Schizosaccharomyces pombe: one gene and its partners. Each later gene encodes a partner of the first gene's protein in a complex. Each region holds a gene or a part of one and is shown in the gene's direction. Other genes may lie near its edges.

The links.
Region 2: bet1 (region 1) and bos1 share a complex: the UniProt entries of both Schizosaccharomyces pombe proteins name them as parts of the SNARE complex.
Region 3: bet1 (region 1) and ufe1 share a complex: the UniProt entries of both Schizosaccharomyces pombe proteins name them as parts of the SNARE complex.

The regions. Positions count from the first base shown.
Region 1 is NC_003424.3:1,049,865-1,053,230, forward strand, and holds bet1 (SNARE protein Bet1), read left to right. Parts: upstream 1-1,804; 5' UTR 1,805-1,864; coding exon 1,865-1,875; exon of another isoform or gene 1,876-1,918; coding exon 1,919-2,057; exon of another isoform or gene 2,058-2,106; coding exon 2,107-2,310; 3' UTR 2,311-2,860; downstream 2,861-3,366. Other genes in the region: serine/threonine protein kinase (CK1 family) Hhp2, read left to right, coding at 1-224, 311-625; mannosyltransferase complex subunit Alg1, read left to right, coding at 3,120-3,303. UniProt on the Schizosaccharomyces pombe protein: SNARE required for targeting and fusion of ER-derived transport vesicles with the Golgi complex.
Region 2 is NC_003424.3:1,923,147-1,926,904, forward strand, and holds bos1 (SNARE protein Bos1), read left to right. Parts: upstream 1-1,934; 5' UTR 1,935-1,955; coding exon 1,956-1,979; intron 1,980-2,020; exon of another isoform or gene 2,021-2,030; coding exon 2,031-2,127; exon of another isoform or gene 2,128-2,199; coding exon 2,200-2,786; 3' UTR 2,787-3,393; downstream 3,394-3,758. Other genes in the region: tos4 (transcription factor), read left to right, coding at 47-1,617; metallopeptidase Oma1, read left to right, coding at 3,593-3,758. UniProt on the Schizosaccharomyces pombe protein: SNARE required for targeting and fusion of ER-derived transport vesicles with the Golgi complex.
Region 3 is NC_003421.2:1,000,576-1,004,333, reverse strand, and holds ufe1 (SNARE protein Ufe1), read left to right. Parts: upstream 1-2,000; 5' UTR 2,001-2,069; coding exon 2,070-2,189; exon of another isoform or gene 2,190-2,217; intron 2,218-2,352; exon of another isoform or gene 2,353-2,386; coding exon 2,387-2,621; intron 2,622-2,709; coding exon 2,710-3,314; 3' UTR 3,315-3,622; downstream 3,623-3,758. Other genes in the region: formin For3, read right to left, coding at 1-1,204. UniProt on the Schizosaccharomyces pombe protein: Syntaxin required for targeting and fusion of Golgi-derived retrograde transport vesicles with the ER.

The DNA.
Region 1 (3,366 bases):
AGGAGCAAAAGTATCAACGGATACGTGATACCAAGATTGGCACTCCTTTGGAAGTCCTTTGCAAAGGTCTTCCCGAAGAGTTTATCACTTACATGTGTTACACTCGTCAGCTTTCGTTTACCGAGAAGCCAAACTATGCTTATTTGAGAAAGCTGTTTCGTGATTTACTTATTCGTAAAGGATACCAGTATGACTATGTTTTTGACTGGATGATATTAAAATACGTAAGTTTTGAAAAGAAAATGATAAGGTGATACGTTAGTTTAACCTTAACAAATGATTGAAAATTCGATTGACTAACTATTATTAGCAAAAGCGAGCTGCTGCTGCTGCCGCCGCTTCTGCTACAGCACCTCCACAGGTTACATCTCCTATGGTGTCACAAACTCAACCGGTTAATCCCATTACTCCTAATTATTCATCCATTCCCTTACCTGCTGAGCGGAATCCAAAGACTCCACAATCTTTCTCCACTAATATTGTTCAATGTGCTTCTCCCTCACCTCTTCCTCTCTCCTTTCGTTCTCCTGTTCCCAACAAAGATTATGAATACATTCCATCTTCGTTGCAACCTCAATACAGTGCTCAACTGAGGCGTGTTTTAGATGAAGAACCAGCTCCTTGATTTTTTGACTTTACTTTTCATCAATTCCTCTCTTACACTACGTCTTTTAGTCTTAAATTCCAAACCATCTGTTGACGTTTTAAAGTTCCACAAATATCTTTAATAATTCCTGGCTTTCTTTTTTGTCTATGGATGGCCGGATTGCTACACTAATACACTTTGAGGTTTAGCTATTGTTTTGAGCTATTCCATTTTGCCTAGAAGTTGAGTTTTAATGCCTTCTTTTTAAATAGACATATTGTGTAAACCTCATACATGCTTTACTGAAAAGACATAATTAGAGGACAAAATTTAAATCGTGCTGTTTGTTTATATTCAGCTCGTTCCGGTCAAGTTCTTGCCAAAGAATTGAGTCAGTCGTGCTATTCATTTCTAAATTTCTTCTTCCCAGAATTTTATTTTATTGTTTTCGTTCCCCATTGGTTCTTACATTCCGTTTTTATTCAAAACTGAAAAGTTTGTACCTCCATTGCTAGAAGTAATATACACAAGGAGCATGTTTCTTTTTTTACACTATCATTTGCGTGGCTCTAAACCAGTCTTTATTGCCTACCTTTGCAATAAAAGATATAATATCAATTGCATAAGAAATAATTCATTAATAAATGATAAATTTCATCGATTAAATAGATCGCTATTTTTCACACTGTATTATGGGCAAGTAGCGTAAAAAATATTAGCTCTGTTGGAGTTGACCGCTGGATCATCAAGTTTTACATACTATTTAATTTCGGCTGTAGCAAAGAAAAATATCCATCGATTTGCCATATTATCATATCTATTGCTTTCTGTGGTATTTTAACCACCGGTATTTCACTTCTACAAATGTAAACAAAGCACGTTGATTTGTTTACATTACAGTTGCCCCAGTAACACATTATGGATCAGCACCACAAAGAAAAATCATTCAAAATTGATGCTCAAATTCAATATTCTACAGGCTCAAGAAGGGATCTATACTTATTTTTACTAAACCCATAACTATCATCTCTGTTTCGTCTGCGGTAAAAAAAAAATTGTTTAGATTAATGTAAAAACAGAGCAAAATGAGATTTGTCACTTAGTACAACAATGTGTTACCTCTACACGCAACTCCTGAGTTGCGTCGCATGTTATTTGATGAGCTGACTTTGCGCACAAAACCAATACATAACAAAGAGATCTTAGGATTTGGAAGTTGCGCTACACCAAATACTTTTCATATTCGGTAAAGGGAAAGATTTTAAAAAAAGCTTCAGAATGGGATCAAGGTATGTACTAAATCTGATCAATCAATGTCTAACTAATCATTAGATTCGGTAGAAGAAAAGAACGCAATGGCGATATGTTGCCCTTGTATGAGTCTCAATCTCCTCAGCATTTAGACTCCTTGGAAAATGAAAATGATGAACGGATTTCAAAGTTAACTGGAAAAGTCAAGTCTTTGAAAGAGGTAAGATTTTTGCCATCATCAGGAAAAACATGCTAACTAATTTTAATAGCTTACTATGAATATTGGGACTGAGATAACGTCTTCTACTAAGTTGATGGAGTCAATGAACGACTCATTTGACTCGACCAAGTCACTTTTGAGCGGGACAATGACTCGATTAAAGAATGTTTCGAAGAATGGAGGAATTTCAATTTGGATGTGGCTCGCCTTCTTTTGCCTCGTTGCGCTTATCCTCGTTTTGGTAAGATTTTAGGCATTTTGCTTACTACCTTTACTCTTTTTTAGAGTTAGCATTTTTATGATTCATTTTATGGCGTGTATAATCTGTTAAAATTGTATACTTGAAGTTTCTTCATTCTCTTTTCTTCTAACATTTTCATTCTGATTATTTTAAACTTATTATCGATAGAAAAAAAACATTCATCCACCTTTGGTGTTTCCACACAAGTGGTTTGTCACGATAGGAACGCAAATCCTCAATTTTTGTTTTCCTAACGACTTTGTTTTTAACTTATTACATCCTGTTATTATAAGTTTCTATCTGTTATTCATGATACTAGCCCTTCACTCGTCGTCTTACCATTTTTGTAAATTGACGCAACTATTACATTTGAGTTTTATTCAAGTTTATCGGCATGCAGGTCATGTCTTTTGCATTTTCTATTCCCAAGCTTGAAGTATGGAATGTTTAAGTATGTGATACGAATCTTACTACTTAAATTTATTTGCTTATTACATTATTTCTGCGTCTAGTGTTCTTTTACTTCAATACTTGAAATAAAATTTTTTTTTTTTCTTTAAGAGTACAATCATGCTTCTATTCCTTTTCCTTTGTATTTTAAATGCATGTTATTTCGAGTTTCGACATATTGGGTAGGTTGCTGTTTAATAGTGTATTATGGGCACAATAATATTTACGTAAACCATCAGCGCTGTACACCTACCTATAGAAAGTTGTTTTAAGAAGATATTCGCTTTTTATATGTCTAACAGTATTTAATAACTAGTTTTCTTAAGCGGAAGTTTCGAAATTCGATCAGTAACCGTGAGTTTGTGTACAAAATGCTAGTATTGAAGATAGTTTTATTTTTATCTTTGGTGATATGGTTTAATTTAAAAAAGAGGACGGATAAGAAAAGAATTATTGTTCTCGTCCTAGGAGATATTGCAAGAAGCCCTAGAATGCAATATCATGCCGTTAGCTTCGCTAAACTTGGATGGAAGGTTGATTTGTTAGGCTATCAGCGTAAGTTATCTAAAATATTTGAATATTTTAATCTATACCACATTAGGTGTATTTGTTGTCACT
Region 2 (3,758 bases), 870 kb from region 1:
TCTTTACCAATTGACTTGAATCTAACTTTTACTAATATTAATTTAGGCCAATTCGTCCTCACGCCTGAGCCATCTAGTAATACATTCTATGCCCCCTCTTCGCCTGCTTCTGCAGTGAGAAGAGAGCCACTTTCTCCAATGTCTTTTGTACGGATGCGTTCACATCGCGTTAATAAAATTGGCCGTTCTAGTCAACAATGTGACCATGTCCTATCCACGGTTGATAAAGCAATTTCTCGTGTACATGCTATTGTAACTTGTACACAAGACCGCATGATTATTGAGTGCGTGGGTTGGAATGGGATGATTGTGTCTGATAAAATGAGGAAGTCAGTATTCCACATGAAGAAAAATGATCGGATTGTCCTGGTAAGACCGAATTCGGATGCTTGTCCTGTACTGGATGTATTCGGTTACCGAGTTCTTCTTGGTTGGCCAAGTGATTCTGAAGATGAATGGGAAGGAAATCTTAATGCTAAAAATTATGAAGAAAATCGTGAACCTATGTCTCCTTCACCTCAAGAAGCTTTACCTTTGATGCCTTCATCACCTCCTTCTCAAGACTATCAAAACGATCAGAATCATCTCATATTGTACACTAATTCCGAATCCATTCCTAAGCTAAACTTGCGTAGTAACGAATTAGTATATCCTCCTCCATCCAAAGATTTGTTACAAAAGCTTCTTGCCTTAGAAAAAGATGGTCAGGTGGAAAAGTCTGATTGTTCCAAAAATACACAATTAAAACCATCTTTTCTCCCAAAGAACACCGACGATTTACTCAATGGCACTGATGATAATAACATCGTTTTAAGAGAAGTTAAGGTTTCTTTTGAGAACGAAAAAATCGAGAGTGATGATCTTGATAAAAATGAGGAAATTAGTGAAGGTGAAGAATACACTCCAATTGAAGAGTCAAAAGAGCCTATAACAGTAAGACGGGATAGCGTTATACAAATTGATGAATCGTCCGCTGGACTAACGGACGTTATCTCTGAACTTAATTTTACAAACCATAATGATGACTCAAAGAATTCTAATATTACAACTTCAAATGATTCCCCAGTGAACGAAGTTGAGCCAATGGCTCCTGAATTGAGTTCAGCAGTTGTGGAAAAGAAGGAACCTGAAGACTACGAAAGCATCTCTGCTGTTGATGAGAACACTAATGACAGTAATGAATCCCTCCCTTCTAGCCATGATTACTCAGAATCAACAAAAGAAAATTCAGCTCCCGATAGCTTATTATTAGGATTGGTTTTAGATGAATTGGTTTTCTCAACAACTTCAACTACTCCCCTTCCTGCACTTTCGCATTTATTTCCTTCCAATATGCCACTTCAATTAATTCAGGACAAGCTTCGAGACTTGGCAGCCAAGCACCCCTACTTTGAAGAGGTTAAACGTTACGGAACTGATGCTAATGGTGATCCATTGTGGAGTGAATGGTTTTATAACCCAGATGTGGATGATGATTTAGAACGGCGTATGAGATATGCTCCATTAATGAGACCAGTAAGATCCTCACGTCGTGTACATAAACAATATTATTGGAAAAAGCCCCGAGCTCGTCCACGTTCATCGGGACATTCTTCTAGGCGTCGTCGTCTTTCATAACGAATTGAATGCTGGCATCAGACACGACCCCTATAAAATTTCGCTTTTTGATATTGTATACATTTCGTTATTACGAATGGAATTATTAGATTTTTCAAATGGGGTTCAACAAAATACAATTGAACTCAATAGTGATTTACATTTAATATGAATTTTGGGTAAAAAAACGCATTCTTTTTTATAAAACTGTATTTACAATGTATAGAAATAAATTGCTACTTTAAGCTATTTACAATTTTGATATAGCATTCAAGTAACGTGTTACTTGCTACATGTGTTGTCATATCAAAGACAAGAAAATAAATTACCCTCATATTGGAACCAACTACGGCAAGAGAATGAGCAATACTCTTTATAATCACGTATGTAACTTCCTAAAGTTTTAGAAAACATATTAATTTGTATTTCGCTAGTGTACAAAGTTGTTTCAGTCCATTCAGCGAAGCCTCGATGAGTTAGAACGTGGTGTTCAAGATGAGAGCAACACTATATCGTTAGCTGGAATTCAGGGTATGTGTAGATGAATAATTATGGTACTTATTTTAACCAAGTTATTCATGAGACTAATGCAAATCAATTTAGGCCAGATCTCAGCTTCATTTCTGTCATTATCCAGATCCATTGATGACTACGATAGTATGGTCCAAAGGGAATTGGTTCCCGCTAAAAAAAAAAAAGCTACAATACGAATCCAAGAGTTCCGTCAAAAGCATGTTCAGTTGTTGGAAAAATTTGATGAGTTGAAGGCACACGTTCGTGACATTGCGCAAGCAAAAAATAGAAAAGAATTGTTAGGGAGGCGTGGGTATGTGAACTCTCTTGATAGTCCCTACGGAAATTCAACAACGGATGCAGAAATTGTGGAAGGGCCATCAGATCTAAGCAGACAAGATGGTTTATTAAAGGAGCATGATTTCCTTGGTCGTGCAGAATCTCAAGTTGACGAATTTCTAGAACGTGGGCGGATGATTCTTGGTGATTTAGTTGAGCAGGGAAGCGTTTTAAAAGCTACTAAGACAAAAGTACTGAATGCCGCCAATACCCTTGGCATTACTCGCCATACTCTATCTTTAATCAACCGTAGGTCCAAACAAGACAAGATTATATTTTATTGTGGAGCATTCCTTGTATTTGTCCTCTTTTACTTGATTTACAGGTGGTTACGCTAACATGTTCATGTCGTTGGCTTGTTTAAATTTACTATTCTTATATGATATGGGGCAGTACAACAAAATCAAAGATGATTAAAAAATTTGAAGAGCTTCTTGAGAGTTAAATTTTTTATTAATTATTTTTAAAAATAAGCTATACATTTTGCACTTGTTAGCTTCTCCTTGCAAGCTATTACTGTTGTGTTTTTTTCCTTCTGTTTATGACATTCCACTAATCACGCACTTATGGGCCTTTTAAATCTAATTCTTTCTTTGTGTTTTTTTAAATCCTTAGTTTGTCAATCAATTAATACCGTTGCGGTAATGCTTGACTAAAACACCTTCTCTTCAGGCGGTTGCTTTGAAATGCTTCAATTGTGATTCCATTTCATTTTATTTTAATATCCAAGAGAAAATTAACTTACCAATGGGCAATAGTTTTTTTTCCTTAGTTTCTTCGTAATTTGCTCAGTTAAGCTATGTATTAAAAATAATAAAATAGACTAAAACTAATTGTCATCACGAACCGTTAGTTGACGACTGTTTTACACTATTTTTATTGTCAACCGTTTTCAATGCAACTTAAGAATTTGTCGAAAGCCAATTGAAATTTGTATTCATATATATTAATTTTGTACCATATATATTGTAATAACTGTATTGGATGAAGTTAACTTTTACTAAAGAAACTCGAGACACGTTTGTTAAAATTAATATCGTTAGCGATTATCCTTTCGTATACCATAATACACCAAACTATCCTCCATTCTCATCTTTTTAAATATCTAGCGCCAATATTTAGTAATTCCTATAAGAATTATTTAATGTTTTTAAATAAGTATATATCAAACTATTCCAGAACCAGGGCTGTGAGCTGCGCTCCAGTTCTATCATACAAGAAATGTAGTTATCGAAATTTCAATGGTTTATTACAGGCAAGATTTCAAAGCAACAACTTGAGTTGGTCCAATAGAAACAGAGTGGTATATA
Region 3 (3,758 bases), on another chromosome or scaffold:
TGATTAGTAATTGCAGAGCATCACGGACGTGTCTGTTTCTCCATTTTAACAAAGAGTCGATGGCCTTTTGAAGACCAGCAGATAACAATTCATGCCTTAGAGCACACCTAAGTTGCAAATCCGGTGGAGCAGCACATAAATCTCGAATGAGAGCTAAAGTTGCAACAAGGTAATCAATCAAGCAGTCCGTATCTTCAAATTCGTCCATGTGAACAATCGCTTGAGGAGATGAATCAGCACAAACTCGGACACCAGTAATCACATCATTAAAGGAATGCATCCATGCGCTAAACCGAGTTTTTGATAACTTTTGCTCGACGAGCCATTCGAAAGCCCTGATTACAGCTTTGAAGTAACTCAACCCCTTTTTATTACAAAGGAATTTAAGGAGAAAAGTAGCCATGCGAGCTGAATTTAAACTTTTTGAAAGCACAGTCTCAGCAATAGTACCTAGAGCATTAAATCCTGGAACAGAGCATTTAGCTGAAGACTGATAACGACGACGGCAGTTTTCGCTGTTCAAACAGTGAAATAATGACTGTATTATTTGGGATTCAAGAGGTGTTTTAGATGCACGTTCAGGATAGTGACCCAGGTTTCTTAAAGCAGACAGTAAACTTTCAATACCATTTCTTTCAGCAAATTCATCCATCCACCAAATTGGTTGAATACGTAATTGAACGTTTAATAGCGATAAAAAATGGTAAGTAGGTGGGACTTCAACGACTTTTTCAATGAAAAAGTCTATCCTTTTTAAAATTCGATTATAAGTTGCTTCATCTAAAACAGTATGTTGGTTAGTAAGAGGAGCATCATCGTCATAAAAAGTGTAGCGCTTGGTTCGCTCGTTGGTAATCTCTTTAACAATGGTAGGTTTTGGAAATACACGGGATTCTAAAGGATAAATTTTACGTAACTGCTCAGTTTCGGATAAAAGTTTATCATTTATTTTTGTCTTTTGGTGATAAACAGTGTTGTAGCACATAACATATTCGGGGTCATTATTGTCATCGGAAGTAAGAGAGAGATCTTCTCGCGACTCAAAATCATTAGTACTTTGTAATTTAGAAAGATCTGAATTTTCAGATAGGGAAATCGTAGAGGGTGTTCCAATACGTTCGTTGGAAGAGGTAGAGTAACTGGAATTTCGAGATTGAATAGAACGACTAGTAGGGGGAGACCCTTCAGGCATTTTAGATGCCATTATGAATTAACATACCAAACTGGTAATTTGGTTGTAAAAAAGATACTAACGAAGCTGATTAAGGAATAAATGGTAAGGAAGAAAGCAATCTTTGGTGAAAGAGAAAATATATCGTAATGCAGAGCTTAAAGCTCCGCGGTAATGTCAACCAGATTTTAAAATCGTTTGGATGATTATATTAAAAAGTTGAAAGGAACGCAGGTATCAGATGTGATGCGAAAGTACAGCTTTTTAGAAAAAGGGGTAATCACTGTATATTGTATAACAATAAGCAAATACTGAAGGTTAAAATCAATTAAAGTTAATAATATTAGCCTTATTGCAATAAAATGCTTGATAAATATGCAAATTTAACGTTTCGAAGAGCGTTGGTAAAGGATGAATTTATGTCGCCCAAACCATGTTATTATATAGCAACCTCAACACCAGCAAAACAAAAACCTTATTTCTTCGAGATAAAGGACACAAACAACTTTTTTCAAGCTAAATTTTTAAAAATAACTCAAAAATTGTAAACAATTTGACTGCGCTCCATTCTTGTGAGGTGTATAACTGGTTACGTTTGTTTGTTTACTTGAAAATAGCTCATTTCTAAATACTTCAAAAATTGCGAAACTTTAGCTTAATTTCATTTATTGTAGACATCGACTTGAAGTAAATAAACAAAACTCGTACAATGGAGTATTTTTTTTTGCTTTTTTGAACATTTGTTACGAGCACCTTTAAGTCTCTCAATTCCGTTTACCGTGTCACTATTCATAAGGGGATATGGAATGCTACCATTTTCTAAACATCTGTTCTGTTAATTTGAAATTCATTTAACCCGGGATTTATATTTCTCCTTTCTTAGCATCTCAAATTCTGAATGACGAGTCGTACGAATGAGTTTTTTGGATTAACAAAAAATGGCGACATTGATGCAGCAAACATTCCTTTGAAAAGAATAAGTTATACGGATCCTTTTTTGGCTGAAGGATATAGAATTGTAAGTTTGAGGACGAGTTTTCTGTAATTATTGAACCAATCGGAAATTTAACCTCAACTCAATTGATCACTGTGGAGATGCGCTACCATAATATACGATTAATTATTGAGTGGGATTGGTTTAAATTTTTGACAGTATTAACTTTTGTTATTGCTTTCTATATCTAATCAGAGAGTTCAAATTGCTAACGTTAGCAGCATGAAACGATTGTTAATCTTCTAGTATTTTTGAAAAAGATTCGTGGAGCTTATTTAAAGGACAGAACATTTTCAAATGTCCAAAGACTCTCAAAACCTTTAATGGAGTGTTCACTTGAGGAGCTTTCAAAGCTTGAGCTAGATGAGGTTCAAAGGGATGAAATAGAACATGAAGTCTCTTCGGCAATCAGTAGCTGTATTCATCAAATAGCTAAGTTGCAGGAGATTGTGAAAGGTAAGCTTAAAATTTTAATACTGGTAAAATTATGTTTACTTAAATTATAAACAAAACACAGGGACATGCTTGCTAATTGCATGAGTAGAACAACAAAGTCAAATCCCTAAAAAAAGTGGTTGGCTGCAAGGTTTAAGAGACCCTAGTAAATTATCGAAAAAGGAAACTTTAGTCGCCCACCATTCATCTGTTCTGTGGTATCTGCAGTCTGAACTTTCCGATGTTTCTTCTGTTCTATATCATTTACAAGATCTGAGATTAAAACGAGGTCAGGAAAAGCGAAACATTGCTTCAGACTTTTTAACAAAAAATCCTACTGATGAAAATTCAGCTGTTGAGATCCCTGAATCTGAATTACAAACATTTTTTACTCAACAGCAACTTCAAGAACTTGAGCAAGAGAACGATGTTTTACTCCAAGAATTTGAACATACTATGGAACGTTTACGTGATACAGGGAAATCTTTGGCTGATATTACTAGACTTCAGTCGGAAATATCCGCTCAACTATCTATTCAATCAAGTGCGGCTGAAAAACTTTATGATGATGCCCTTAATGTCATGGATTCGCTGTCTGGGGGTAATCAACAACTAATCAAGGCCAAATCTAGAAGTAGTCGGACCGCTCGTCTGCTTTTTTGCATCTTTACCGTTATGGGACTTTTATTGCTATCCTTGGATCGTATTGTTTAATTCTCTTCATTCTTCTGAAACTTTATATTGTAACAATAATGACAAAGGAATGAAACTCGTTCTTCTTTGATCATGTGAAGTTCATGTCTATAATCTCATGTAAATATAATGTTTATGCTTATTCTTTCGACCATTCCTTGCACGCCCAAATAAAAATTCCTTATAATTCATCTTGGGTACGTTAGTTTTCCAAAAATTTTCTGGCCATTTACTATGAAATAGATTATGGTAAAATTGTAGCTTGAAAAATCTAGTATGATCGAATGTTTATAGAAGTTCACAATCAGTCTCGATTAATTCAAAGTCAAATTTGTTTGTTAAACATTCAGCTATATAATTTAGATTGATGCATTGGACATTAGCAAATTAACTAAATGCTTAGTCAAAAGGGATGTATTGGAAGAATATATTCTTACCCTGCCAAATAACAGAAACGATAAAAAA